4 linked regions of the Oreochromis niloticus genome follow. The protein of the gene in region 1 purifies or fractionates together with the protein of each later gene. This does not show direct contact. Links are inferred from orthologs where the notes say so. Each region holds a gene or a part of one and is shown in the gene's direction. Other genes may lie near its edges. The genes, in order: kdm6a, pagr1, paxip1 and kmt2cb.

Evidence for each region.
Region 2: the proteins of kdm6a (region 1) and pagr1 purify together in Homo sapiens (affinity purification with mass spectrometry; 5 studies listed by BioGRID and IntAct, with this or other methods). This does not show direct contact. The link is inferred for Oreochromis niloticus from reciprocal best matches to the Homo sapiens genes KDM6A and PAGR1.
Region 3: the proteins of kdm6a (region 1) and paxip1 purify together in Homo sapiens (affinity purification with mass spectrometry; 6 studies listed by BioGRID and IntAct, with this or other methods). This does not show direct contact. The link is inferred for Oreochromis niloticus from reciprocal best matches to the Homo sapiens genes KDM6A and PAXIP1.
Region 4: the proteins of kdm6a (region 1) and kmt2cb purify together in Homo sapiens (affinity purification with mass spectrometry; 3 studies listed by BioGRID and IntAct, with this or other methods). This does not show direct contact. The link is inferred for Oreochromis niloticus from reciprocal best matches to the Homo sapiens genes KDM6A and KMT2C.

The regions. Positions count from the first base shown.
Region 1 is NC_031987.2:31,115,250-31,122,232, forward strand, and holds the start of kdm6a (lysine-specific demethylase 6A), read left to right. Parts: upstream 1-3,972; 5' UTR 3,973-4,441; coding exon 4,442-4,611; intron 4,612-4,756; coding exon 4,757-4,820; intron 4,821-6,983. Other genes in the region: fundc1 (FUN14 domain-containing protein 1), read right to left, coding at 595-672, 777-905, 992-1,067, 2,312-2,462, 2,933-3,002. UniProt on the Homo sapiens protein: Histone demethylase that specifically demethylates 'Lys-27' of histone H3, thereby playing a central role in histone code. Demethylates trimethylated and dimethylated but not monomethylated H3 'Lys-27'.
Region 2 is NC_031973.2:16,564,403-16,572,316, forward strand, and holds the start of pagr1 (PAXIP1-associated glutamate-rich protein 1), read left to right. Parts: upstream 1-4,898; 5' UTR 4,899-5,134; intron 5,135-5,379; 5' UTR 5,380-5,411; coding exon 5,412-5,583; intron 5,584-7,189; coding exon 7,190-7,526; intron 7,527-7,613; coding exon 7,614-7,702; intron 7,703-7,793; coding exon 7,794-7,914. Other genes in the region: kinesin-like protein KIF22, read right to left, coding at 318-417, 638-758, 1,238-1,634, 2,053-2,262, 3,376-3,527, 3,712-3,839, 3,947-4,134. UniProt on the Homo sapiens protein: Its association with the histone methyltransferase MLL2/MLL3 complex is suggesting a role in epigenetic transcriptional activation. However, in association with PAXIP1/PTIP is proposed to function at least in part independently of the MLL2/MLL3 complex.
Region 3 is NC_031982.2:752,238-759,917, reverse strand, and holds the start of paxip1 (PAX-interacting protein 1), read left to right. Parts: upstream 1-4,676; 5' UTR 4,677-4,802; coding exon 4,803-4,883; intron 4,884-7,680.
Region 4 is NC_031982.2:16,678,393-16,685,844, forward strand, and holds the start of kmt2cb (histone-lysine N-methyltransferase 2C), read left to right. Parts: upstream 1-4,433; 5' UTR 4,434-4,453; intron 4,454-5,206; exon of another isoform or gene 5,207-5,985; intron 5,986-7,452. UniProt on the Homo sapiens protein: Histone methyltransferase that catalyzes methyl group transfer from S-adenosyl-L-methionine to the epsilon-amino group of 'Lys-4' of histone H3 (H3K4).

The DNA.
Region 1 (6,983 bases):
AGACTGCAAAGACTGGTGTAACCCAGTGTTTACTTTGAAGATGATTGATTATAACGTGTTGAACCAAAATATAAAAATTAACAGTGGCACTGATAGAATACCCTAAAGACATGCATCCCCTGCCATGTGTAGGTGAACTGAAATCTATTTGCCCCAACTGTGCACAACCACAGTGGGAAATCTTTCCTTCTGGAACATTGTCCGTTTTTTTAATAAATACATAATAACAGAAACATTCTGTTGGGTTTCCTTTTTTAATTTAATTTCCATGATATGTATTATTATTTGGCGTTAAAACTGGAGTGTTTCAAGACGGCCATTCTGGGCTAATAAATAAGTCCCACGTCTATATCAAAAATACTTGCAAGTACGATGTTATAAACAGAAGGGTTTGCAATGCAGCTTAAGTAAAAACACAGAGCTCCAAGCTAAACTGGTATCTGTTGGTCACTTGCTGTTAAAACTCTTGAGAACTTAATTATAATATTGCTAATTATAAGCAAAGACTTATAATTATCCTCTATAGCTTTTTATAACATCAGAAACATAACACAAAAAACCCCCCAATAATACACTCTTCTCATTCGGTAGGTCCTAAGATGCCAGGCCGAGAAGGAATCCTCCGATGAAGCCACTTGTGACGACAATGTTTTTCTTCACAAACTCTCTGGACTGAAAGATACAAATCATATTTCATATGACACAGTCGCTTTTTCATTGTAACGGGAGGGTGAAAATGATCTCACAATCAACCAGACAACTCACAAAAAAATTACCTTCTCAACAAATGTGTTGAGCTCAGGGACTGCCTGATCTGTTCCCTTCTTTAACTGCTTCTTAGCTTTGTTGACATCCTTCTCTACTCGCTTCCAGTCCACTTGGATATAACCACTGTTGTTAGCTACCTGAAGAAAGACAGATTCATGAAAACAATGTCAACGTGTTGAAAAGCTTAACCTGCACATATTTATGCAGGGCGATGCAATAATACCTGTAAAAGCAGAAGACCGCCCCCCACTGCAGTAGCAGCAACTTTTCCAACCTTCTGGAAGAGGTAACCTGCACACCTAAGGCAAATTGAAAAGAGAGCATAGTAGCTGATCTAACAATAATAATGACACAAGTTAGCCTAACAATGACCATTGTGAGGTGGCCATTCACTGTCATAAGGTTTGCATGATGTGAAAGGTCCCACTGATAAAGTATAACTAAGACACTGTTTGCAAGATACCTTAACTGCAGAGTTATAAAGTTGGGAGTGTGAAATTTGTTTTCTTAAGTGATGGCAAAATACAATTTTGTCTCTCTGCTACAGTAACATGTGAACAGCGAGATGAGCATGCACTATATGTAATACAATACTGTGCAAAACGTTTTGAGCTACTCCTCATTTCAATATATTTTGCTTCCAAGGAGCCAGGCCTCCTGGTCATTTTTTAAAGTGGCCTTGAGCAGTAGCTCTCCAGCCCTTCTGATGCTCTTTTAATGTTTTTTCTTTGGACTTTCCTTTCCAAGTTCTGAGGTATGCCAAATGACACAAGAACTGGATTGTAAATCGCTTGTCAAAAGTAATAAATTCATGAACACAGTAAAAGTTCTTTGATCCACCATGCAATGTCATCTCCAAAGTGTCTGATTTGGAAACTGAAACTAAATAATGAAACTGCTGCCATACACGCTGCTAAAGGTATACCTGGATAGAATCCCCCCCCCCTCCAAAAAACAAACAAAAAACACGGTGGAACGCAGTCAGCCACCAATTGTGCAAAGCCTGGACCTCAACATTACTGAAGCAGTGTGAGATCATCATGACAAAGAATGGAACAAAAGGCATTCAAAGGAGAACTTTGAAGAACTATCTTTGAAGAGTGCTTAAAGGAATTAGACGAAAGCTTTCTGAGGAGACTTCAGGCTGTTGAAGAATACTCATGACCTTGATCACTTTCAAGGTCATTAGTATTGTATAAACTCTGTTTTGCTTTATATACTGTATGACATATATGTTTGCATGTTTCAAATAATGTCTGCACACATTTCATATTTTCCTAGCAAAGGAAATGTGGGGTGGCTAGAGATTTTTGCATAGTACTTTAAGAAATAAAGACATCCGTGTCCAATCAGCCAACAGAAAATATACTGTAAACAAGATGAGACACAGAGCAATTTATAACCATCTAAATTAACCTTGAGATTTTCTAATTTTGCGTTAGGGTGTTTCTCAGCCATTCATATTTACTAGAACTACAACTACATGAAGTGCTTAACTAGGAACGCTAAAGGCAGCATAATGCATTTTAATGAGAATATTTACCATCCACTCACTCCACCTATTGCAATCTGTGTAGCCACAGAGTATTTTTCAGCTATGGGGCCGGAATTCTTTCCGAAAAGGCGGTTCCACCATCGCTGACGTTTAGCGTATTCTGTCAGATCCACGACCTTGTCGTAAATCTCATCTTCCACTTGTGTACATACAAGGAAAAATAAAAGACAGCTAGCATGAAATAACAATGAATGCAGCAGCGACAAGCCTTACAAGCACAGTTACATTAATGCTACAAAATCAACACACGATTCTAGACGCTATTATCCATTACTCAACTATAAACTGTAGTAGTTTCCTGCTTTTTTACTTAACAAGATCTATCATGACAAAGGCAGATACCAATAGTTTCATTACGGGCTCCATTACAACTTACTAAAATTCCTGGGCCTAACAATAACTTAGCATGACTACACAACTAAAGCTAACAGGTGAAAAGTTAATGCTAGCTGTAAATGGTGCGGCCCAAGAGAGAGTCAGCGCCACAGAGGAAACGGGAAAACGGCTTCAAGGCTTCGTAGCAGCAACGCGAACGTTACTAAATGCACCCACGGTGTCGAGACCGTCCTGGATCCGAACAACATGCAATAACATTACAGGCCTCCTTACCCTTGCTATTCGCCATTTTGGAGTGCACTGGTCTGTCCTCAGCTGCCTTCACGTCCGGCGTCATTTGCATAAATTTGACGGTGAAAAAGAAACCGAGACATGGGCAGGCCTACATATAATGTAACGTTATACGTTATGTAATAATAATAATAATAATAATGATAACAATAATACATGTTTTTCTTTCTTATGAAACATTTGGAGATTTTGCCAGTCTCGCAACTCCATCCAAGTTTCGCGTGACCTCCAATACACTGCACTGAAGGTTGTTAGGACACAGGTATGGGCAGCTAAAGGTGTTTTGGTCGTGGCTATTTTGTTTTTTAAGAATAACTCTAAATGAGTGCATTCCAAGTGGAGATGGTTTTCTAAAAGTTAACCCCCTATTTTTCTAACCGATATTAGGAAAACAATTCCTGACAATAACAGGTTTCATTTATTTAGGTTATTTTTGCACTATTAAATTAGCAGAAGAAATCCTGCCGTGGCTTATGGACCAAATCGATGAATTTGTTTCGAAATAACCCGGTGTGCCTAGTGGTAGAGAAAGACAAAACAGACAAACAAAATAAAGAAACAAATAGTAAATATATTAAAACATTATTATTGTGTTTTATATAGCTTTTATTTTTATGGGGATTTTTTAATATCTTTTTTGGAACAGCAAGGCATTGTGTTCATTCGCTGACGTCCTCCTGAAGCTTAAAACACAAATATTATAGATAACACGGCACAAAACTTCAAAAAGGGAATAGTTAAGAGTTTTCTGGACTATTTAGTCACTTTAGTTTGCTTTCAATGGAGTTCATTTCACAGTTTATTCAGTCGTTGATTTTTTAAATTCATGTTTATTTGTGTTATTTGGATGAAAATGAGTTCCCCGTTTCTTGAGCTAATAAGCATCTATCTATCCATCTATCTATCCATCTATCAGTCAAAAAGTACATGTGCGACGTTGCAACAAATACCCTTGGCACATATGACAGCTATTTTAACCAATACGTTACCTACAAAAACAGTTACGTAATCATAATACAGCCTGAAGAACCAATCGCAGGACGTGAGGCGGGACTTGGAAGCAGATTTGATGTGTACGTGCGCGTGTTCGCAACACGTCAACAGGAGACCACCACGTGACCGCGGATGCCGCGCGCTGATTGGGCACAATGAGCAGAGGGCGTGTCGAAGGTGGCGGCATGCGTTTGCCTGTGTGACACAATTACAACAACTTTGAGCCGATGGTTGGGGAAGTTTGAGATATTATCAAATAACACTCACTCCTAAAACCCAACATTACATCAACTTCATGCATAAATTGGCACTGGAATACACGTTGAGTTTGATGTACAATGAGGAGTGTGGAAGATAACTTGAAGGGATCATTTCCTTGAGGATTTGGCAAGAATTACACTACGCCCCGTTTTAATCCTGGATAGGTGTGCAACACTTTCGTTGTGACTGCATTTTGGCGGAGTTGCTCGGTGCCGTTGATCTTCCCAGTTCTTTTCCATGAAATCGTGCGGAGTGTCGCTCACCGCCGCTGCCTCTGCTGCTGCCCGGAGTCTCGGCGTTGCTGGTAATGACGAGGAGAAAATGGCGTCGGGAAAAGCGACTGAAATCGAAGAGGACTTTCCGAAGCTAACAGCGCAAGAGAAAGAGAGCTTGGTCGGAATTGACAGGTTAGACGCTCTATTGTGTAAATAGTTTAATTCGCTTAGTTTTTTTGCAATAATAAATTTTCTTCGCGCAGTTGGAAACAACAATTGCCCCCCCTCCCCTCCAAGTAATACGGAACCGCCTGTGTTGTCTGTCCTCTACTTGCAGTTCACTGTTTGGATTTCATAGGCTTCAAGAAGATGGCGCCAGAACGAAGGCCTTGCTGTTAAAGGTATGCCACAGAATAGGATCACAGTCGCCTCTCTCCGTTATCTCCACAGACGAGTGCATATCCCATATGAAATAAGTGGTACAGATCCCCCAACGCCACTCTTGCTATAAGGCCAGCAGCGACATACACAAACCATAATTTCCCCAACTTTGAAGCTGAACCAGCGGGCTAAATGTACAAACCAGCCCTCAGTTTTACATCATTGCATTCGCAAGACAACACGTACAGTGCCAGGTACACAGCGAGCCAACTCCAGTGTATTTCTGCTATGTTTATTACTATGTTTAGTATTAAACATGCCCAAACTAACCGACAGGGCTACAGTACGATTGCAGGGAGATGGGAATCTCCACCCTGCTCAAATCGGTGGTGTCATCCGTAGTTGAGAGTAGGTAACCATGTACATGATAGCGTTTTATGGAGTGTTGAAAACATACTTGGCGTAGCAAAAATATTTCTTTTAACAAAACTCACAATAAGTGGAAGGCACGTGTATGGGTGAAAAAAAAATATTACAGTGGTTATTACTAGTTAAATAATGCTAGATAGTCAAGCACACGTTGTAAACTGTAGGACTAACAAATTTAATACTTTGCTACCAAGCTAACTCGGTATTTTGAATCTAAAGGGATTACAGCGAGCCTGGTAATACGGTAAACGCCGACTTTCTTGACTTTTACCGAGAGACGTTAACAGAAATATTAGTGTCGCACTATGTCGTCCGTCCCCTCAGTAACGGCAGGCAGAGTTTGGTTTGTGCGTCAGCTCACTCTGTTAGCATGTAGCAGCTAACTGTCCAGCGGTTACCCACCCCCTACCCCCCTTCCTGCTCTCACGTATAGCTATTACGGCATAACTTGGAGAACACTAAGAATGAAAAAAACAATGTTATGTATTAATTTAAGCTTGCAAAAATAATGGCTGCTCAACTTGGCGCAAGATGGCGGGGATAGGGAGAAAATACCTAGCAAAGGTTTGCTAGCTGACTGGCTAACTAGCAGCGGTGGCTAGGCTAACCACCATTCGCATAAAAGATACAACGACGGTGGCGTTGTGTTTTAGAACAAAGATGCACGATTAAAGTGCAAAGCAGGGTTTACAGTTGATTGCACAGTGTCTGTTGGAAACACATCAACCCTGTTCATGCAGTCAATGTTACTACAGTTGAGCTGCCTGTGCTGGATGTGTCTTCAACATGTGGCTTCTGGGTTTCTTGTTGAAGAGGTTTCTTGGGACGTTGTTTTGTCAGGGTCTACTTTCAGATTAGGCCGAGCCATTACACTCATTCTTTGCACATTTGTGGTGTTGCTGTCCTTCATACTCTGCTGGATAGCTGGACAACCAGACCGTTCAACATCATAACGTTAAACTTAAAACATCTGGTTGTTGAGTCTTTCTTGGTGATGGTGTTTTAGATTGTATCCCATTGAATACAGTTGTGTCTTCCAAAATGAGTCTACGCTTTTACCCAATTCTTCTTATGTTCTTTCCGCATCCTACCATTTAAAAATTTGAGGTGACTAATTTTTTGCACGATGCTCTGTTCGAATGAATAGTGAATATTAGAAACAAGTAGATTTTTCATCGTCCAATATATGATAATTTGCTTAAATGGTTCCAAAAGTGGTCCTTGCTGATTGACACCGTCTCTACAGACTTCACTGCTGCACCAAAAGCAGAATTCGTGAGCAGAACAACAGTAGTTTAAATGTGCATGGATTTTTAAACCAGTTTCTGATACATCACAGCCCTATAGGTTAGCGTAGTTGTATGTGCAGTGACGAATCATGCGGGAATGTTTTTTTGTAGACCACTAGATAAGGTGCATTAACAAGAAAAATGTTTTCAGAATTTTTTTTTCATGAGGTCTTGTTCAATTCAATTCAGTTCAATTTTATTTATATAGCGCCAAATCCCAACAACAGTCGCCTCAAGGTCTTGTAATAACGAAGAGTTACTGAGTCAATTATCTGAAAAAATACTTTGCCAGAATCTCTGAAAAATATGCCTCTGCTGTAAACAACCAGTATATGGAAGGTTGCCTTTTTTTGCAGAGCAGTAGAACTGATCACAGATAAACACTGCGCAGATTTTCAGGATCAGTGCAGCTAGTTAATTATATCTGTCTAAAAACAGTGCAGCAACGTTGTGCATGCAACATAG
Region 2 (7,914 bases), on another chromosome or scaffold:
TTCCAACTTGATATTTCCATGTATGCATGCATGAAGATGTCAATTTATAAAAAAGGACAGCAGATGACAGTTTGTATCTCTCCCATAGTAATCCCACAAAGCCCAGGTGTTGCTAGTGGGACTGTTGCAAGAGAGAATTAGTTTCAGCACCAGCTACCAAATCCTGGCCTACTGCTCAGAGACCACGACCTGCTTAAGATGCTGTCTCACTGTCCTCTCGATAGCACTGCTTAGAGCAACTCTAAACTAAACAGCATTCTTCAAGTTAGCCATCCATGTGGACAAGCTCAGGGTTTGATGTAGGTGTGCGTTTTCACCTTGATCTCTTTAAGCATGGCCAGTCTCTCTTTGTCCTGGGAGCTCATCGTTCTCTTCTCCAAAGCTATTAGTCTACCCATCAGTGACTGGTCTGACGAACTGAAGAGGCAGACAAACAAATCATATCAGACAAAGAGAGGCTGAAAAATGGGGCAGACAGTACGATCGGGGCTTTGAAACAAGTCAGGTATCAAAAAGTCATGTTTACAGGCATTCCAGACACACCTACACACAACAGCATTTTTCTCCGTCACAAAGCCTTTCAATTCAGTCAGACATCATAATACAAGCCAAACAAATAATCAGTCTGGTCTATAACCTGTGGTTACGTGTAGAGGGCGAGGAACCATCGTGTTCGGATTTCTTCTCCTCTTTATGCTTCTTCTTCTGTGGCTCAGTGCCAGACCCCCCTGTCTCTCGTTCCTCTCTGGACCGCTTCACTGAAGACGAAGGCAGATGGAAAATTAACAGTTTAGTATTCAGTGCACTGTAGCAACGGTGTCTGTGGGGGCTCTCTAGAGTGTAAAGCAACTCAGACAAAAATGGCACAGCATCAGTCAAAGTTGCATTGCAGTGCTTGAATTAAAGCCAACAGCAGCAGGTAAACATGAGGACCATCTTTGAGAGAATGCAGTAGGAAAGAGAACATCAGAACGGCAAAAATGCAAGTGGAGCACCAGTTTTACAAAAAAACAAAAATAAGCATCCATCTGACCCAAACTGCTGGGTCAGATGGATGCTTACTGTTAGCTGTTTACTGTTAGCCACCATCCTCTGGGATGTGACATGGGTGCCCCCTGTTGGCCTTTGGCTCAAATCGTGACAAGACTCTTCCTCTTTCCCAATAAAAATGCCTTTTTATACTTTAGTGTCCCATGACTGAAAAAAGTGGGTGCTTTTCTCACCCAGTTTCACTCACCTGGCAGCACAGGCACAGCCACAGTTTCACGGGTGAAGGGTTTGTTCACAATGAGCTTGGATTTGGCCGCAAAGTTGAGTGCACTGAAGGTGTCAAAATAATATTTGTACTCTGGTGCAATATTGGTGATCATGACGGAGTGTGCCGAGCCTCCCAGAGAGTCCTGCAGAAGCCGTGTCAGTTTACTGTCCCTGTACGGCACGCGCACCGAAGTGCCTGAGTTTAGAGAGTCCACAACTTTGCTGAGTGTGAAGAGAGACAGGTTGATGGCACCGCTCTCCTTCAGACGGATGCCCTGGTTGCCGGTGCGGCGGTTGTCCTCTGAGCCAGCCAAATCGACCAAGTACAGTTTGCCTGTCTGTTGTCTGTGGGGAAGTTGCTGCTGAGTCCGCACAACCTATGTCATTGCAGAGATTAAGAACAGAAAAGCAGCAGCGGCACAGAAGTCAGGCAAGAAAAACAAGGAGGTGGTGAAGAGTCATGGGGTGAAAGGAGAAGAAAAAGAAAAAAAAAAAAAAAAAAAAAAAAAAAAAAGAGGATTACATTTTATGAAAAAGCATGACAATAAAGGGAAAAAACAACGAATAAATGAAGAAAAAGGACAGCAGATAATGGTTTGTGTTTCTCTCCCATAGTAATCCCAGGAAGCACAGAAGTTGCTAGTGGGACTGTTGCAAAAGAGAATTGATTTCAGCACCAGCTACCAAATCCTGGCCTACTGCTCAGAGACCACGACCTGCTTAAGATGCTGTCTGGCTGTCCATTTGACACTAACGAATAAAGTAGTTCAATAAACTACACCAAGACCATCAAACCTTAATGAGAAGGATAGCGTGGCTGCGGCTGGAACGCTGGTTTAGCTTAGTAGAAGCTGTAGTACGGTTGAGCGTCGCAGGGACAAAGTGTTTGTCAAAATCTGCGAAGTTGGTGATGTTCATATGTGTCAGGCCAGGGATAAGGATGTTCTTGTCTTTGTCCTCTCTGATGGGTAAATCATGGGAGTTTGGCGACAGAAGATCAAGCACCTGAGAGAACAAGAAAGGAAAGCGGTAATTGATGAATGATGCACACTAAAAGAAAAAAGGTACATTTAAAGGTTCAGAGGACATGCTGTGGAAAATGCAGTTAGAAGCTTTTGCAGTAAATTCAAGAAGACTGGAGGTTAAAAAGCTATGTGCACCCCCCTTGTTTTATTAAATCATGCTGAGGGCCAGTGATCTGAAACTGAATGGGTAGGCTGAAGATGTTTTCACACATGAAATTTTAGGTAAACCAATTCAGATATTTTCCACATTTGTTCATTTTGACATGTAGCGCAACAGGAAATAAGTCTGCTTCAAAAGGTTTCATACTACCGAGATGTAGTGGATGGTGTCTACAAAAGGGAACTGCATGAATATAGCAGGTAAGAGCTGTCCAATCTGACACTGTTTTTTTTATTAGAGAGCTGGCAGGTTAAAGGCTGGCTAACATCCCATCCGACTGCGTCAGATATCTGCATTCTCACATACAGCTCTGCTGGGTGGGGCCAAGACTACCCTGCATGTGCCAAAACATCTTAGTTTGGACTACACCATCTGCATAATAATATTGTTGGCTTAAATTTGCAGAATTAAGGGAGTCAGTTTTTGGTCAATATAAAATCTTCTATGGGTATTAATAGAATTTCTAGAGAATTATCCATTAGAAACGGAAATATTTCCACTTTTAAAATGAACATAAAGGCAGTTTTATTTTCAATACAGGGTTTTAATCAGGTATTAAAGATTGACCACACTACAAGTTTCACTTGCTAAAGTGACATAACAGGGAAATTCATAGAGTTCTGTCAATTAAGGTAACCAAGATTCAATACCTCGGCTGTTTGGAGACATTTGAGGCTATTTTACAACCTTTGGAACAAGTAAGTACCAAAAGTTCATTTGATCCATTTAAATCTAGAAAAAAACAAAAACACAACAACCACGAATCCCCCCCCGCGCTCTATAATGCTAAAAAACGCAGAAACACACTTCTTAAAAGTAAAGACAATGTTTTCTAACACCTCAACTTGAACGACCACCATCTAGATTACTTTACTTAATCATGAACAGAAAGTCACAAGTAATTGTACGCTGTGTCTACTTAAACAACCATACCTTCTCATTGTAAATTTCCAAATACGACATGCCAATGCTGTAGTCCCATCCATCACTCTCATCCTTGGCTTTCACTAGCTTGAAGACCTCACGAACAGCTCGGGGAATCACACCCGGCTGCTCTGAACTCCCCAGCATAGTGTGGGTCTTACCTGTGAAAGAGGATGCAAAAGCCTAGAGTTAGAAAATGGTCTCTTTGGGGAGCCAAAATATCTATAAACAAAATGAGAAAAATCATTGTGACCTCTCTCAAGTCTTAACAGCTTAATTTATAAATGCATGTGCACAGCTAATATACACGTTTCTTGAAACCCTGTAGACTGTGCTTCAACATACCAGCTCCTGTTGGTCCATAAGCAAACACACTGGCATTCTGTCCGTTCAAGATGTGCGGCAGAATGGGCTTCACTGATGAGAGGAAAACTTCTTGCTGTGTCGTTTGTTCACCATGAAAAACGTCGAAGCTAAAAACAACAACAACCACAGCTCTCTTAATATTTACAGCTAGACAATCACTGAAATCTTTACCGACATACATATATACATAACAGATTATTATGAAGGCACTGACTGGTATTTAACAGTTTCTGTGGCGTTCCTCCAGTTGATTATCTCCAGGTTTTGAGAGTCCAGGCCTCTTACACACGGTCCCTCGCTTTTCTCGTCTTCTTTGTTCATATAGGGTCGCAGACGAACAGCTACGCGGACCCTGGATGTCTTCTTGTTTCCTCCATCTGATACCGCCACACGCGTCGCCATTATTGCGCTTCCACAAAGAAAGGCCCGAATAAAGTACAAAAAAAATACAAATAAGCTAACTAGTTAGCCACGAACGTGCTTGAAAAAGACAGTTTGTTTATAACAGCACTGCATGAAAACGCATGCCACTCAAATGAAACCTCTCCCGATAAGCTGTGTTTTCCTTACTGACGAAAGCCTCTCTCGGCTAATAACAAGCTAAAGCTGGATAGCTCAGTCATAACTTCCCTCGCGAACGGATGCTTCTCGCCTGGCTAATAATAGTCCCAAAGCCAAAGCCTGCTATATGCTTACCGATATTATGTGAGAATGTCCGAGACAAGCCACACCTTTGTTATGCCCTAAATTGTCCTTCCAGCAACATTTCGGACGCTTGGTTTTAACAATGGCGACCGCGTCCCTTAAAAACTTGAGGAACTAACCGAACACTTTTTCAAATGCAGAGCGCAGAAACCGGAAACGGCCGTAAACCAATCAGAACTCGCACAAATACTGGCGCCTGTTTTACGTCATGCGTCCATATTAATGAGATTTGTGGCTCTTCTGATTACATTTGTCAAGTTTACGCTACACAAACGTACATATACGCACGCTTTAAAAACAACAAGAACAACATGAACAGAAAAGCAAAGGACGCTAATACAAATTTCGCCCTGTCTGCCCTAAGACCTGCTCGCGCTTGCGCAGTGTGCAGGAAGTCGCGTCGAGCGTAGATCTCCAAACCATTCCCCTCTACTGCTGGAGTGTCCGCTCGTAGTGAGTGTGGATTATCCACATGACGTTGTATCAACAGTGAGGTGAAGCTCCCCCCGCCCCAGCGGTGCAGAGGCTCAGGCAGATCCCTACAGCCAAAATGGCGCTATGTTTACGTCTGTGCATAAGCGTTTGTTATACTTAGTGACTCTCATGGGGAGTTTTTACTGGAAAAGTATTTGACTCAACGTTTTAATCGCTTTCACAGCAGCACTGATCCGGAAGAAGCCGTTAATGACGATTTAAGGCACGTATGTTATTAGCAGACTAACTACTGTTTAAGAAATAGCTGGCGGTTAGGCCTGACGTTAGCTAGCCGCTTGTTTTAGTTGACTATACGTTCACTTATCCTTTAACAAAAGTAAACAGCTACGGCTAAAAGTTATAGCCTCTAAAAAATCCTCTTATCCCACACACTTGTGTATACCTTAAGTTAGTTTCAGCTGCACTAAAATGTTTTCTAGATCTAAATGGCAGGCTTCTGTTCAGCAGATCTGTTGCGAGAAACTTCACCAGCAGGAAGCATGCAAGCTGAGGCCACAGACACCTCACTGAAAGAGGGCATAGAGGTTCTGAACATGAAGGACTCAGAGGAAGCTGCAGAGGGCAAAGAGGACGAGGACAGCACGGAGCAACCGGATACGGAGATGGCAGGGAGCGCAGAGGAGGACGACGCAACAGCCAAGGAGGATACAGGTACAGTACACGTGTAAAGATAGATGCATGCATGGCAGGTGTAGTGAAAGGACGCACAGTAGACAGGAAGTTTCATTATCAGGTTAAAAGTCTTCAGTGTGGACAAGCATGTCCTGTACAGGTAACTAGTGTGAGTAGGAAGTATCACCAAGGACAAATGCACAAGTGTCATGCAGGAGTGTGCAGGAAATACAAGGAAGCAAAGCACAGCTGAAACACGGTCAGTTATCTACCGGTTTATTAGTAGGTACTTACCTTGTCGGCTTCCTAAGTCTTTACATTTTAACAAATTGGCACAAAAGGCAAAATGAGTGAATATATCCACCCATTTTCTTAAATGCTTATTCACCCAGTGTCTGGCGTGGGTGTGGTGCTGGAGTTGGCATTGGTGTGGTACACCCTGAGCCAGTTCTTTGTATGAAAGTTAAAAAGAAAAAGCAAACAGACTGCTGGGACTAGATATAAGCTGTGAGCACCAGTGTTGTGTCCAAAAGTGATTTCTGATGTTTCTGTTTTTAACTGTAATGTATTTGCTCATATATATATATATATATATATATATATATATATATATATATATATATATATATGGTATATAGACTGTAGTCAACTGGATTTATGATGGGGATGTATATTTAAAGTACAGAAATTAAGTATCTTTTTGAGTCTGCGTCATTATACCTAGATTATCCAATCTAGAGCACTTTAAAAAGCAACATAGTCGTCCAAACTGTTTTCCAGGGTTAAAAGACGGCAATAAAATGCAAAAACCATCTATTGAACAAAACAAAAACAAAAAAACATTACAAAATATTAATATTATAATCAATCCAATTGTGAACTTTAAGAAAGTTGGAGGTCTTTTAATTAAAAAAAAATGTAAGTTAAAAAATAGTTTCTATGAAACTATTCAGTAAAGCCAGAATTGCTCAGTATCTGATTCAGCCTTCATTAGAAAAGTCTGTGTTGTTCTGTGCCCTGATGTACTTGATCACTTCAAGTCTTTTGGCTATTTTATCACTTGCAGCAGAGAATATATTACACACGAGAGAAATGTTGGCTCCTGCCATCAATAAATGTCACCACTGATTTCCAATAGTTTTGCTATTTGCACCCCGATGCCCATCAGTGGGTCTGATGTTGATGTTTTGTTGACATATCAGTCCGTCCCTACGTACAGCTTGTCACAGAGAAGTCAAAGCAGTGTGTTTGAAAGATGTTTAAATTGGACCTATTATGTATTGCTTTCTGTCATACATACAGTACTTTTAGCAGTGCTGATTGCTCCTATTAAACATGGCTAAACTTTCACATATTGAGGTCAGTGTATGTACAAGTAATCCCCTTCAAAAGTCCAGCCTACAATCTACACATGGATCTGTCAGTGGAAGCCAATATTCTTTATGTGGTCGCCTCACACATCAGCCACACGACCTGCTGTTCCGACCTTTTGAGGGGCAGCCAATCAAAACAAAAGCACGTAGCTCTAAACTAAGGGGGAGGAGCTACATCAAAGCCAGGTATAGGGTTAATCCACAATAAAATGTCGCTTCATTATTGTTTTTAAAAGAGATTTTAAACTGACTGTGTACGTGTTTTTTCTCAGATGGGAACACAGATGCAGTGGGAGGAAAGGCGCAGCAGGATGAATCTCAGGCAGACGCAGGGGTGGAGGCTGAAGATGGAAAACAGAAAGCCGAAGAGGCGGACGGTGACTGGGAGCTTCCGTACAGCGACGAGGAAATGGAGGACCCCAAAAACTGGGTGCCTCCTCCCGCAGAGATCAAAAGACTCTATGAGCTCCTCGCTAAAGGGGAGATGCTGGAATTGAACTTTGTGCCCCTTCCTAGAAGGCCCCCCACGCCTGAACAGACCTCCTCGCCCGAAAGAGACGAAGAGGAGGAGGCAGCCAAGGAACGGGAGAGGCAGGAGAGGGAACGCAAGTCAGTGTTGCTTTTCCTTTTGGTCATTTCAGGATTAAGGAGTTTGGTTTGAGTGCTTTTGGTTGTTAACCATGTTTTGTTTTTCAGGCCTCCAACTCCAACTGAGTTTGACTTTGATGAGGAGCAAATGCAAACCACTCCAAAAAATGCCTTCCTAAGCCGACGCAGGACTCCAGGTATGTCACAATCAATTATATGTGGTGTCTCTTTATAATCTGGAGGGTTTTTTTCTTTTATTAATAATGATTTTTGCCTGTTGTCTCCCAGGATCTTCTGCCCGCTCCTCTGTTAGAAGGGAAGCTCGGCTGGACAAAGTATTGTCAGACATGAAGCGACACCGCAAGATTGAGGAGCACATCATGCGCACAGGAAGAGATCTCTTCAAGAG
Region 3 (7,680 bases), on another chromosome or scaffold:
CTGCATGCTCGTCGTGGCTACCCAGAGTTCCCAGCAGCAGCCCGTGAGGAGCTTAGCCTGCATGCTTTTCTGCGAGGACTTTTTCCAGAGCGACTACGTCAACACGTCCGCCTGGCCATGCCTCAAATTCTCCGTGAGGCGCTCCTTGAGGCTGAGAGGGCCGAGCTGGTGTTCACCTCGCAACCTAACCAGCAGGTGCCCCCCCAAACTGCCCCCAAATCAGAGTCGCAGACTGCGACGGGGAGGGGAGGTCGTCGAGATATGCCAGTTGCAACCCTCGGTGCCCCGGAGGCGTCCCCGTCGACCGACCGACCGCTGCTACCAGTGCGATGAGCCTGGCCACGTGGCGCGTGACTGCCCAGCACCTGCCCCGAAGACCAGGACTACGCAGCCTCAGGGAAACAGGGAGGGAGCGGTGTAGTGAGGGGACCACCGCTCCAGCTTCCTGCCCCCCTCCAAGGACGATGCACGGTGGTGGGCCGAGTTGGGCACCTCAAGTGACTCTACCTGAGCTGCTGTGTTGAGGACCTGCCATGCCAGGCCCTGGTGGACACGGGGTCCACCATTTCCCTGATACGACCTGGCGTGCTCCCTGGAACGTCCGGGCCATTGGTGAAGGGTTGGTCGCCCACCGACACCCAGCTGATGACGGTGACGGGTGAGAGGGCTGATATGCGGGGGAAGAAACCGTTGCGGGTCCGAGTGAAGGACCTGGAGCTGGTGCACGACTTCTGGCTTGCTGACATTCAAGACCAGTGCATCATCGGCCTTGATCTGCTGACCCGCTGGGGGGCCTGCGTCAACACCGCAAAGCGGGATATCACTCTTGGCACAGAGACTCTTGCCCTCCAGTGCGGTCAAAAGCAGCGAGCGGAGGGAACCCGAGCCAGACGAGACAGGCGTCGGGCGGCTGCCGCTCAGCAGATTTCGGGTGCCGGTGGCTCCGGGTCATCTCTACGCACCTCAGCCCCGGCCTCTCAGCCCAACAAATCTCCCTCGACCGAGACAACCGAGGCTGTTGGTGACCTGTGGCAGCGCAGCAGCGTAGGTCTCAACGTTGACCAGTGCCAGCGGTTGAGGTGCCTCCTGGACGAGAATGTGGACATCTGTGCCGCCAGTGACAAAGACTGCAGGCAGATGGGCCTGGTCCAGCACACCATCGACACAGGCTCTGCTCAACCCATCCGTCTGCGCCCACACCGGCTGCCCCTCTCCAAACGGCAGGTGGCACAGGAAAAGATCCATGAGATGGCTGCGGCTGGGGTGATCGAGCCGTCCAACAGCCCATGGGCGGCACCCGTGGTCCTGGTGGGGAAGAAGGATGGCAGCCCGAGGTTCTGCGTGGATTTTCGCCGTCTCAATGCAGTCACCGAGAAGGACTCGTACCCGCTTCCACGGATCGACGAGGCCCTGGATTACGTTACCGGCTCCAGCTGGTTCAGCTCCCTCGACCTACGCAGCAGCTACTGGCAGGTGGAGCTAGCCCCCGAAGCAAGGCCTAAGACTGCATTCACCATTGGACAGGGGCTGTGGCAGTTCAGGGTCATGCCATTTGGGCTCTGCAATGCGCCAGCGACGTTTGAGAGGCTGATGGAGAGGGTGCTCGTGAACATCCCTCGTAGCCGCTGTGTTGTGTACCTGGATGACCTGTTGGTGCACGGTGGCGACTTCGACAGTGCACTGTCTCACCTGAGCGAGGTCTTCAGCGCCATCCGTTGAGCTGGGCTGCGGCTCAACCCTGCGAAGTGCCAGCTGTTGGCGAGAGAGACTACGTTCTTGGGCCATGTGATCAGCGCTCAAAGTATCGCCACCGATTCCGCAAAGGTGGCTGCGGTCTGGGACTGGCCGACTCCCTCGAACGTCAAAGAACTGCGGAGCTTCCTGGGCCTAGCCTCCTACTGCCGTCGGTTCATCAAGGGGTTCGCGACGATAGCCAGCCCCCTCCACCACCTGACTGACAAGGGCCAGCCGTTTGGCTGGGGTGATGCCTGTGCTGCGGCTTTTGCACAGCTGAAGGAGGCCCTCACCAGAGCCCCAGTTCTGGCCTACCCCGACGCCCGGCAACCTTTCATTGTGGACACTGACACTAGCAATGTAGGAGTCGGGGCGGTCCTTTCCCAGCAGGGCGAGGCCGGAGAACGAGTGGTGGCATACTTCAGCCGTGCTCTGGGGCGAGCCGAGAGGAACTACTGCGTGACCCGGCGGGAGCTGCTGGCCGTAGTGCTAGCGGTGCGGCACTTCTGGCCATAACTGCACAGTTGCCGGTTCCTCCTGCGCACTGACCATGCATCTCTGACCTGGCTCCTGAACTTCAAACACCCAGAAGGTCAGGTGGCCCGCTGGCTGGAGGTCCTTCAGGGCTACGACTTCGAGATCCAGCATCGGGCAGGTCGGCAGCATGGCAACGCTGATGCCCTCTCCAGACGGCCCTGCATGGCCGTTGAGTGCCGCTACTGTCTGCGACAGGAGGAGCGGGCTCAGGAGGCCCTGGGGGTGGCTACTGCTCAGGCCACAGCCAGCGGAGGGGGTGGCTCCCACTGACAACGCAGCAGCTGAAGCGGGAGCAGGAGGCCGACGCGACGTTGGGTCAGGTGGGGGCCTGGCTGGAGGCGGCGCAACGCCCAGACTGGATGGGGGTGTCGGGTCAGGAGCCCGAGGTGAAGGCCTACTACTCCCAGCACAACAACCTGGAGACCCACGACGGCCTCCTGTACCAGAGATGGCGGGCCCCCGGTCAGGGCAGAGATCTCCTGCAGCTGTTGGTGCCTCAGTCGCTGCGGTGGCAGGTGCTTGAGCTTGTCCACGGCTCGGTGGGGGCAGGCCACTATGGGAACGCCAAAACTCTCCGCCGCCTCAGGGGACGGTTCTACTGGCCTGGCTGTCGACGGGATGTGGAACTTCACGTGCACTGCTGTGACACCTGCACGGCGCAGAAGGGCCCCACTCAACGCTCCACTGCCCCCCTTCAGCAGTACTTGGTGGGGGCCCCGATGGAGCGAGTGGGAGTGGACGTCCTAGGGCCTTTCCCCGTCACGGAGTCAGGGAACCGGTACGTGCTGGTGGCGATGGACTATTTCACAAAGTGGCCGGAGGCCTACGCGGTGCCGGACCAGAGTGCGACGACGACGGCAGAGAGGCTGGTGGAGGAGATGTTCGCCCGTTTTGGGGTCCCGGCTGAGCTCCACAGTGACCAGGGGCGCAACTTCGAATCGAAGGTGTTCGGGGAGATTTGCCGGTGGCTGGGGGTGGAGAAGACAAGAACCACACCGCTCCACCCGCAAAGCGACGGCTTGGTTGAGCGTTTTAACCGCACACTGGCTACCCAGCTCGCCATTTTCACCAGCCGCCACCAGCGGGATTGGGACCGACATCTGCCCCTGGTCCTTTGGTCGTATCGGACTGTGGTTCAGGAGTCCAGCCAGTGCACGCCTGCCGCTTTGATGTTTGGGCGGGAGCTCCGGACGCCTGTGGATCTGGTGTTTGGGTCCCCCCCGAGCCGGAGATTGACGGTGGGCCAGAGATGGACTACTACAGGAGGCTGAGGGAGCGGCTGCAGGTGGTTCACGACTATACCCGCCAGGCCCAGGCCAGCGCCGGAGTACGACAGAAAAGGGCCTACAACACCAAGTGCCGGGGGGAGGCTTTTGTGCCTGGCGACAAGGTTTGGGTGTACTGCCCGGTTCGCAAGAGAGGAGTGTCCCCAAACTGTGCAGTCACTGGCAAGGGCCGGCGGAGGTCGTGGAGCGGCTAACGGAAGTGGTGTACCGTATCCGCATGCCGGGCCCGGGCGCATGGTGGTGTTGCACCGGGACAGGCTTTCACCGTACCGACCGCTCGCTCCGGCAGACGCCGGGGCAGGGGATGCTGGTGACACCCCAGGTTCTGATCTGAGTGACTTGCGCCAGAAGAAGGCACCCGGACACTTACAGGACTTTGTGTGGGGTAATGGGGCTGTTGGGGACGACTGACCCCTTAGGTGGGGGCTATGTAGCAGGCCAGGGCTGTTCGGGGTTTGTTCTGTTATTACAGTTATGTGTTTGTTGTCATGTTGTTATGGTGACGAGTGACCGCTCTCTCGGCACTGTGTTTCCGGTGAGAGAGCGCCTTTTTTTGTTGTTTATGTTGTTGCCGCGCTGAGGAGGGTGGTAGCGGCAGTGTTCTGGGCCGGTTATAAAATAAACGGGTGCTCCCAAATACACCTTTGTCTCCTTCGTGACTGAGCTCGCCACAATATTTATATCAATATTTTTGATATGACAGTTTATTCTGTTGGTAGTATTAAATATAGGATGAAATGAATGCTTTTATTTGGTTCTCAACGGCTTTCCACGGTCAGGCTTTTTTGTGTGTGTGTTTGTCGTTTTTCGAAGCATTCTATTGCATTTGTCCTAAAGTCAACCCAGCTCAGTCTGTTTGAGATAATCTGGTTTCACGTTTAGATCAAAACAATAACCTTTACGTCACAGGGGGGTTATGTGTCTATTTGAAAACATATTTGTAAATTCCCGTCGCCGTTATTCTGTTATATGAGTTCTTTTACCCCAGTAATATTTACGATAAATTACATTTAGCGATGCAATGTTTAGAGAGATATAAAAACCAAAGCGACTGAATACAGAAGTGTTGATTTGCGACAGACCCCCCTCAGCAAGCACATAATGCTGCAGTCCAAGGCGCGCTAAGCGATTTGGCGCTAGTGTGTGTCCGGTGTTCTGTAATCAGCTGCTGCAGCGCAGGCACTTTACACTTTGAGCTTCTGGCTGTTTTTGAATCATACAGTGCCGCGACCTTCATGGCCAGTCATGTCTGAAGAAGAGATCAAGGTTTCCGATGAGCTTTTCAAAGATGTCAAATTCTACGTGGTTGGGGATATTGATCAAAAGGTGAGGTTCTGGACGTTAGCAGCTTTAGCCAAGTTGGTAGCCTGTGCTAACTAGCTAGAGTCATTGACTGTAAAGCAGGTGATGCAAGAGAAGCTAAGTAGTAGCTAAGTATTTGAGCTGTCTTTAGCTGACCTCTGTGAGCCCACGTAACGGTGCTTGAGACTTTCAAGTGACGCTCGCTCACTGAATACTTTGTGCAGAAGCTCCTTCAAACTGCACTTTCACGCAGCCCTTTAGCACTAGCTGCGAGTTTTGCATGTTAGCTGCTAGCTTCTAGCTTGCGGTTTGTGAGGCTCAGGCTTGCTGTTGCCGCTTGTTAGCATTTTTTTTCTAAACGATTAGCCTCAGTAATATTGCTTGGCACTTTTGATAAGCAGTGAAACGCTGCACTGCCAGTGTATTGTGTTACTTTTCATCAACCTATGACTGTCAGCATCTTCCTCTGTTATTCGCCCATTACTGCGCATGTGTCCGCAATTCCACTCGTTGGTACTGAACACCTGTGGTAAAGAGCTGTCCTTCCTGTCAAATGGCACTATCCAGACGCTTTGAATCTGCACCGAGAACAAACAATACAATTATCTTTTACGGTCTTCTCATGGATTGATGTCTTATTGGGATTGCTCCAAGCAAAACCTCACATTCTAAAATCTAGTGGGTCGTGTTGAAGTCTGGCTGCGGTTAAAGGCTCAGTTACACTTATTCAGAGCAGAGAGGTGTGGTGGACAGTGCCGTGTCTTCCTTTAGAATGAAGTTGTGCACGGTAGGAGAGATAAAAAATTTATCAAAAAAAGTATTTCAGTTTTTCTTATATCAGTATCATTCACTGAAAAATTACAGTAACCAGCTCCGTCTTTGTTTATTATGGCACACAGGTAATAATTGTAATATTATTATCAAACATGTTAATATTAACACTAGATTTGGGTGGAGCACAGGGCTTCTCATCTTTTTCATTTCTTAAATGATCGGTTGTTAGTGCTTCATGCAGTCCATGTTAAGGGATGTGACAGACCAATTTTCAGCCAGTGCGAAGGGGCTTTAATTAGAGCTGGGCGATATAAGATTTTTTCATATCACGATATGTTTTTTTCATTTCAGGCGATAACGATATATATCACGATATAAGCCAAATAACTATATTTGTAAGATTTAAATGTGCCGTTGCTCACAAGTAAAATGTGAAATAATTAGCAGCTTGTTTTAATTAAAATATTTATTTCCCATAATAAGTTCAACAGGGTAGATGTACTTAAGGAACATGAGACTTCAGTTTCAGATAAAGGCAAATATTGTAAACTACACAAAAGGCAGCCGCTAAAGCGTTTAAGTTTCAAAATAGAACAAACAAAACAGACCACTAAATTGTCGATTCCACTTAGAAACAAAATTTTAATTCTAAAAATAAATCTTAGGTCGTTTTACAGAAGAACAGACAAAATTGACTAACTTTTGTCAATATCAAATAAACTGAGAACTAAAAGGAAATTCTCAGGCTACGTCCACACGTACACAGGTATTTTTGAAAACGGAGATTTTCCGTTTTCGTTTTAAAAAATAATCCCGTCCACACGTAAACGCAGAAATGAAGGAAAACACTGCTAGGAACATGCCAAAGCAACAGGTGGCGATATATTCCTAACCGTGTAGAAATGTTGGCCAATCAGAAGTCTAGAAGCCTCGGTAGGAAATAGTAAACAAAGATGGGGCATAGAAACAGAACCGAGTCGTATGTGTGGAGGGACAGTAACTATGTGTGTATATGTAAGCATTTAAACACTGCAGAGAGTACAATTAACAGTAACAGTATTGTAGAAATTCATTTCACCCAAACAATAACGTGGCGCACAGTGTGACGTCAAAAAAGGCGCACACCTTTGACGCTGCGTTTTCTCCGTTTTTCTTGTCCACACGTAAATGCAAAAACGGAGTTTTCGAAAATATCCACCCTGGCAGGCGTTTTTAGAAATCTCCGTTTTCAGTGACTGAAAACGCCGTTTACGTGTGGACGAAAGGTGCAAACGCATAGAAAAATCTGCGTTTTCAAAAATACCCGGGTACGTGTGGACGTAGCATCAATCTCTCCTTGTTGTACAGCTTAGCTTTTCAAACAGTTTTAACAGTTACTTTAGTCTGACAAAAGCCGAATGACGAATTAGCGCTTTCAGTCAGAGACTGAGCATGCACCGCTTTATTGTATTTCCAGACTTGCTTTCGGCACAATTTACAGTGCGCGCTACTCTGTTTTTTGTCAGACTTGAAATAGCCGAAATACCTTCACACTACGGAACTTCTGTGGCCCTTCCGTTCGACAAGCTCTCCAGCATTGGAACTATCATCTGTTTTTTCTTCGGTAACCTTCGCTCACGCTCTCGGTTGATTTTTCTCTAGTCGGCAAACTCATTTCCTTCATTACCTGGGCGGCCCGGCTGCAAAAACAAATACACATGTGCGCCTTGGCGCTTGTGCTGTACGTAACAAGTCATGTGACGTGACGCTGCGGCTGTGATTGGTTCGGCTCTGCGCTACTTAATTTGGATTGGCTGTTCTTTTCTTTTTTTTTTAAGAGGACAAGAGAGATGAGGTCTATCGCAATAGTTTAATTTTTCTATCGAGAAAAAGTTATTTCGCAATACATATCGTTATCGTTTTATCGCCCAGCTCTAGCTTTAATGGCGGTTTAGTCTTGAAGATTGCATTGAACAAATATATTTTTGCACATATTTACAGTCACGATAATATGCTGACATTTACACCCTAAACCAGCAAGGTTTTTGGTCTGCCAGCAACAGATCTG
Region 4 (7,452 bases), on another chromosome or scaffold:
GAAAATTAGTCCTTAATGCTGATAGCCAAAGGGCACCAATTAAGCTCAACAACCAGAAAAGAGCTCCTTGAGCATTTATCCATTCGCCATGAAATTATGCTTTGTTTTGCTGATGTGACTTATTGTATTAAAGCACATTTATCTGCTAATAATTATATAAACCTACAGCATAAATGTACACTGAATTATATTGCAAGATGAGGAAATGTGCATGAAGACAAACTGAGTTTGAATGCTTCACCTTGCCATCGGTTACCTGACGAGAAACAAATCTTTATGAAGACTGCACACAAATGTTTGTCTTTGAGCACATTTAATTATCTCTTTTTACTAATATTACTTTACATTAATAGGCAGGATGCTCCTTATTAAACACTATAAACTAGGTACTATTTGAATAAATTGATAAACAATAGCAAAAAAAAGAAAAGAAAATGTAAAATATATTGTATTGGTAGAAATAAAACAGACAGGTTGCATTTTTCATGTTGAATTACAGAGAGCAATTTGATCCTGTTCCTGTTTCCAGTGTTGTGTGAAACAGTAGAGCCATGCTGCCCTCTGTCTGCAACATACCAAAATACTTCTTTATCCCACACTAATGAGCTTTTTGGAGCATTTCCACCATGTCTAAGCTTTGCAAATTAAATTACATGCTTGTTAAATCTTAAAGAATAGTTTATATATCTCATATGGTGGTAAAGCAGGATTCCTCACTGTGTAAGTGGCTGGTGTGTATAGAGCAACAAATATTAAAGAGGTTTTTGTGTTTTATTTGACATTGAAAGAGCTGAAAGGCTTGCTTGTTTATTACATCAGGGATTTTTATGGAAGAGGTTTTGACACGTGGCAGAAATAACCACAGGTGTAAATAAAAAAATCAGTGGTTTGGGGGTGCTGCTTTTGTTTGCGCTGGCACACAGTTACACTGAAACATAGCCAGTGTTTGTCATACTAAAAATGCATGTACTTTTAGTGGTATAATGAGTCAAGCTATATGTTGGCCAGAAGGATGATTTTTGACAAAAGCTGTGTGATCTCTTTAAATTTAAATTCACTTCCAGTATAAAACATGATGTTACTGTCATTATTGCTTTCATTGCATACGAAAACAGTCGTTTTAAATCAGTATTAAGTACAGAGTCGCTCTAGTAATTACAGTCTTGAGTCTCTGTGGATCAGTCAGTGTTGAGTTTGTAAATGAAGGAATTAGGCCAACAGGAGTATCAGCGATGCAACGCTAAACAGGAGCTTTGTGTTTTCAAGGTAATTAGGTCAATGGGTGGTTAACGGTGTGAACGTACACCCACACAAAGGTCACATTTTAGAAAGCGATACCGATGAGTGTCGTGTCTCATCCTTACGTGCTGTCAGGAAATACTGCTGACCAGAAATTTGACTTCACAAAACCTGGTCCAATATATATCAAGTTAAGCTGTCTCAGCAACACCTTTCCAGTTCTGGAAAAAAACTTACAAATTCTTTGAACAGATGAAACTAAGATCATGTAGTACCCAGTAATTACGGAGAAGAAAAGGAAAAGTTCAAATGATCCAAAGTGTAGCACGTTTGTGTCCCATCTGTCAAACGTGTTGGGGGAAATGTTAGGGCACGGCCATGTATGCCTGCCAGTGGAGCCGGGTCACTAGTGTTTATTGATGATGGTTAAGTTGTGAAGGATGAATTGTGAAATGCACAGGGCTATACTCACTGCTCAGAGTCAGCCAAATGCTGGAAAAGAGTGGGCAATGCTTCACAGTGCAAATGCATAATCACTCAAAGAATGCTGCAAAAAAAAAAAAAAAAAAAAAGTTTCTTGAGGCAAAGAAATACGATCTTCTTCAATGGCCAAGTGCGTCACCTGATCTCAGAACAGCTTTTCAGTCACAAAACTAAAGGCAGAAAGACCCACAATCGCACAGAAACTGAAGGCAGCTGCAGGAAAGATTATGCTCTAGCATCTCATGGGAGGAAGCACAACATTTGGTGATTTTCATGGGTTCTGGACCTCAGGGACTTATTAAATAAAATGATTTTTTTTCTTATACTTAAAATTATGTTAGTTTGTCCAATTACTTTTGAGCCTTTTGAAAATGAAGAACTACATATAAAAATGTCTCTAATTCCTAACCAGTTAATGCAAAAGGTTTGTTAAACCCTGTGAATTAAAGCTGAAAACATACACTTCCATCAGTCCATTTTCTTCCATTTATTCAATTCAGGGTTGGAGGGGGCTGGAGCCTGTCCCAGCTACCATAGAGGCAGGGTACACCTGGTATAGGTCACGAGTTTATCACAGGGCTAACACAAAGACACAGACAACCATTCCCACTCACATCTATGGGCAATTTAGAATCACCAATTAACCTAATTCCACTAACTGCATATTTTTGGACTGTGGGAGGAAGCCAGATTACCTGGTGAGAACCTACAAAAATGCAGGGAGAACATCCAAACTCCACACAGAAAGATGGAGATAAACCCTGAACTAACACCCTGCCACTGTGCAGTCCTGAATAAATATATGTGTATAAGCAAAAGGTCATGAGAAACCCATCATTTCTTTGTTTTACTTCCAAGGAGCAAAACTTTCTTGTAAATTTTCTGAAGGTCAGTCAATGTTTTCACTCACTTCCAGCCCAGAACAATGTTATTGTTTGTTACAGCACTTAAAACTCACCTATGAATCATTCAAGTGTAAAAAAAAAAGGCATCTAACTCAAGGGTTGAATGTTAACTTTCCAAAGAGTCATTATAAATTGTATCTTTCAACACTTTGTTCCTAGCAGCCTGACATAAAAACACATATTTTGTTTATTACTTTTGTTGAATTAAGCAAAATCCTCAAAGACGACTTGCCAAAGGGTTGGGATATGTCTGTATGGTGTGCAGTGTGTTCTTCAAAAAATTTGAGGAAAAAGAACAAGACGAGGACAGAAGAAGAAGTGGCAGACCTAAAACAAACAAACAAACTCTACAGCAGAAAAACAGTATCTGAAATTCATATTGTTAAGAAACGAGGACAAATCCAGCATAGACCTGACACAGGGCCTGAGAGATGCATCTATCTATTCACTGAAGCCTCAGAAATTGAAGGGTAGTTGTTAAGGAACAGGGAGAGAAGAACAGGGTATGCAAAATTACACAAGAACTGGACTTAAATCAGTGGCAACAGAGTGATAAAAGCAAATTAAACATTTCTGACTCAAATTATCATCAAATATATATGGAGGAGATCAGGAGAGAGGTACAACAGTGAGTGTCTACAGCCAACTGTATAACAAGGAGCCTGAATTTCAGCCAGGGGTGCAGGGGCTCCTGTAAAAGTTGTTAGAATAATGAATAAAAGTGCCATCGGATTTTGATCCACTGTGCAGTACCATCTGGAAAGCATCTGACTGGCAACTGCTTCTTTTTTTCCCTATCCTGCAGCCAAAGGTCCATCCTACTCAATGGATCAACAGACAAAAACTTTATTATAAATGAGTTAATGGCACATTTAAAAATGACGCATCACATCATTAAAACTAGCATATTCTTCAGAGTGATCATTTCAGTGCTTGGAAATTCAGACTGTATTTGAAGGCAGGGCTTCTCAATGTCCATATGTCCATATATTGACCACTACAAACCTATCACCTATCTTAAATGCACATCACATCTAACTTCCCATTTGTATTTTGCCTGTATTGTAGATGTTCAGGTTAGTCCTCCCTGCCCTTTGTTCTCGTTTATATTTGCTTGATGTATTGTTAGCATTATCAGATTCCATGCTTTTAGGTTGCCTGTTTGGCTGTCTCTTGCATATGTGATAACACACACGGATTATAATACACAACCTCTATTGTGCTGTTAGACAAATTATTCTAGATTTCTGACTCTGTAGCCCAGAGCTCACTATTGAGAGTAAACAAACTAATGAGTGATTATGTAAAGGAGAAGCCCTGGAAAACAGTTTCTGTGCTGCTTTGCATTGTCTCTGTAATTCTACTGTAAGGACGAAAACCATTCTTACAAAGCACACTCCCTCATTTGGTGTGTTGATACCAGTGATGGTGGCTTGTCTAACATGCAGATACTCCCACTGATGATCAGTGGAGTTAAGAGTTAATTACTGCAAATACAACTGCACATATCTGCCTTATACACACCTTAAAAGCCTCTACAGTCATTATATTTCTCTGATTTTCCGAGTGCTTGCTTTCATTTGCCACATTTTTTAATGCGCGATTTATTTGAACTATGTCGAAATGATTGCTACCAACAATAATAATAATCATAATAATAATAATGATAATAATAATAACAATAACAATAATAATAAACACTTTAGATTAGCCAGCAGGGGGAGCTCTCAGTTTAGGAAGGAGGTGCCAAGGTTTACCATTTAAAGGAATAGGGCTGCGTTTATTTCCAGTTAATTTTCTGAGGGGCTTCACTCGAAGAAACTCTGGTAAGTTGTAGTTAAGTGAGCCTTAAAATCGAAAGCAAAATCTAACCAGAGACACAACATTCTCTGCCTCTATTACATATTATCTACAGCCGCTGAAAGCCGACCCCTGGGGTCTTTTCCGAAAGTTAACCCCTGAATGTACGGTGGGTCGGCCGGTTTGTTGAGTACCTTTATCTAACACATAATGCAACGCTTAAATCTGTATACTGGGCGTGTGTATGTGTGTGTGTAGGGGGTGTAAAGCAGGAGTAGAGACGCCGTCGTATGGGAGCAGCTGAGGTACATTCGCATTCAGCCTAAACCACCAGCTCCATGGCGTATTAAAGTTAATCCATTTTTTGTGTATTTTCCCCCGGCTATGAGGAAGCCTTCCGACTGTTGGATTCTCTATAGCTACAGCTGGCAAAGATTTGCATGAGCTCAAGCACCAATGGTTTCTAACAGCTCCAACTCCAAAACGGAAAAAACTCCAGGCTCCATCTTTTCGGGCCCTCCCTAGCCATTATTTTATTTACTAAATGCTTATATCCCTCCGCAGGGTCAGAGAGTATTTTGAAGAAATTGTAAAACGGTTTATCTGCTATTTCTCGTTGCGTCTTCTAATCGGTCTTTTTAAACACGCCTCACACTCGCGAAACATCCCTTTCTCGGCGAGCCCCGTCGATTCTGAAAGATTTGTGCCCGTAGTTGTGCTGTTCGGGGGGAGGAGGAGGCGGATCTAGTTTTTGAGGAGCCTGGAGAGGGGGGGCTGTGCTTCGGTGCCACTTATCATTAGATATGGCCACCGTTACAGAGCGCCCCGAAGCGTCATCTTCAACTTAATTTTGTGCTATTTCATAATCATTTTGCAGCTCGGTCAGCGCGGCAGGCGAGATGTTGTTTTTGGCAAGCTAATGTTTGTTTTTACATGTCTTTTGGAGGCGGTTGTTACTGCGTGGCAGGATGACTGTGAGTCTCTCCTAAACTGGCCGCTTGGTCCCGCAGCTTGTCGCAGCTGAAGAAAATAGAACCAGTTGCCAACCCCCAGCGGTCGGCATCCAGCTTTTTTTTTTCTGTTGCTTTGCGGGTCGCTACACTTTACCCGAGGATTCCTACTTAAAGTTTGGCTCACGGAGCATTGACTTTAGCAGCCGCTTGGATTTCGAGGTCGTTATGTTTACACGTTAATGGTAAAATTATTGGCTGTCGACTTGGGTGGCTAACACCAACTAGCTATATAAGCCGAACTCGTGCGACGACAGCTGTCATTGGAGAAAGGAAAGTGATCCCCGCAGATGCGTGTGCCAATGAAGCGGTTTTCTGTTGGATTTACATCATCCGCTTCTCCATCAAATGGGCAAAGTTGGGAATAACATTGCAGCGCTGGAATATAATGATATGCGTTGTGCATTTTTGAGAACTGCGGTGTTGCTTCATTGGAGAGAGGCTAGCTAGCTCCATTAGCTTGCTAGCTAGCTGGGTGATAAGTGCGACGTTTCATCCCCCTTATTTTGGACATGAAGAGGATAACTCTCTATTCATAGGGCTGGAAGGTAAGCTATATTTGCCTCTTTGGCCTTTTCCTTCAATGTAAGCTGAGTTTGTTGGGAATTTACCTTTTCACGTAAGGCTGAGCCAACCTTATCCTTCTCCAGTCTGATGTTGGGGGTTTGTCGCCGCCTTGGCTTTCATGACTCAGACTATTCAACGGAACGGAACATTCAATTGAACATTTCATGGGTGCCATATAAGCAAATATTAACGCATTTACTGCACTATTCAGTGCGAAAACACACGGCTATCGTTAGTTGGAAGCTAAAAGAGAAAGAAACCAGAACCTGGGTGGTTGTGTAACGTATCGTTTTCACTTTTTGTGCATCATTGTAGTTCCCTAGAATAGTTCCGTTTCATTGAATAGACCGAGCCTTTGTGTGTGTGTGTTGGGCTCAAATGCTCCCCTTTGCCTTGCACCCGGTTTGAAGCTGGCTATTAGGAGGGGTAGTGTTTTTTAAGGTCGCTCGACAAGTTTTCTATGAGCCATGGACATGTTTAACACTAGGATTGGGAAAACAAAGAGGTGAAGCGTTTTTCACTGTTTTGGCGTAGGCGTTAGTTGCAAGTATGAGTTGGACAACTAACTGCAACCATAGGTAACCTGTTTGCTATAGATGGCCCTCTCTTTCAAAGTTGTCTTACGGGATAATGGCTCTAAAGCCAAGTACAGTCCTCTTTCGGTTGTTAACAATGATAAATGGCTTCGTTTATTTTTCCAATTTCTGTTAAATTTAGTCGACGTCAACGTTACTTTTGTCTGTGGTCGACGAAGAAAAGGCGACAGAGTTGAGCACAACAAGCTAGCAGTCGTTAGCTGGATGCAGCTGCTTTGTGCCCAAGCTTCGGTCAACAAAAGCTAACGTTAGCATGTTTTCAGCTGCTCCCGTGGTGGTCGTGACTGCCTTGTAGTTACCGGATCTTAACCTCAGATGCCCCAAGTAAAGTTCTCGTCACCTTTGAGCCTTTGCTTGTTGTACAAAAATGCTCCTTATCCGACGACTTCTTATCGGATCCTACAGTGTTTAAAGAGACAATGTCTTCAGGTTTTTTATCTCAGAGGTAACATTCCTAACTTGGGGTTTGTGCAGTCTCAACATTATTATAGAGGGTTTGTATTTTGTGTTCAGTTTTGGTGTTGGACGACGTCTTAAAGGCTGTTGAAATCAATATAATTGATAGAAAGATGTTGAATTGCCACAGACTAGCAGCGAAAGGTGGTGTTTGTCAAAGTGAGATCTCTTCTGAGTCACTGAAAAAGCCTAACTAATAATTTAAGCCATTTCTGACCACACTGTCTGCGGTGTTTAGTGCATGGATGGCACTGAATTTAAAAAGGTTTAATGTAGCACAGTTTATTATGATCGCATGTATTAAATCTGGAACTGCATGTATCCTCATGGACATTATTATATAGATGTGGAGTGCTGTTACTGCACATAATGGGGATTGATGAGACACAATTTTAT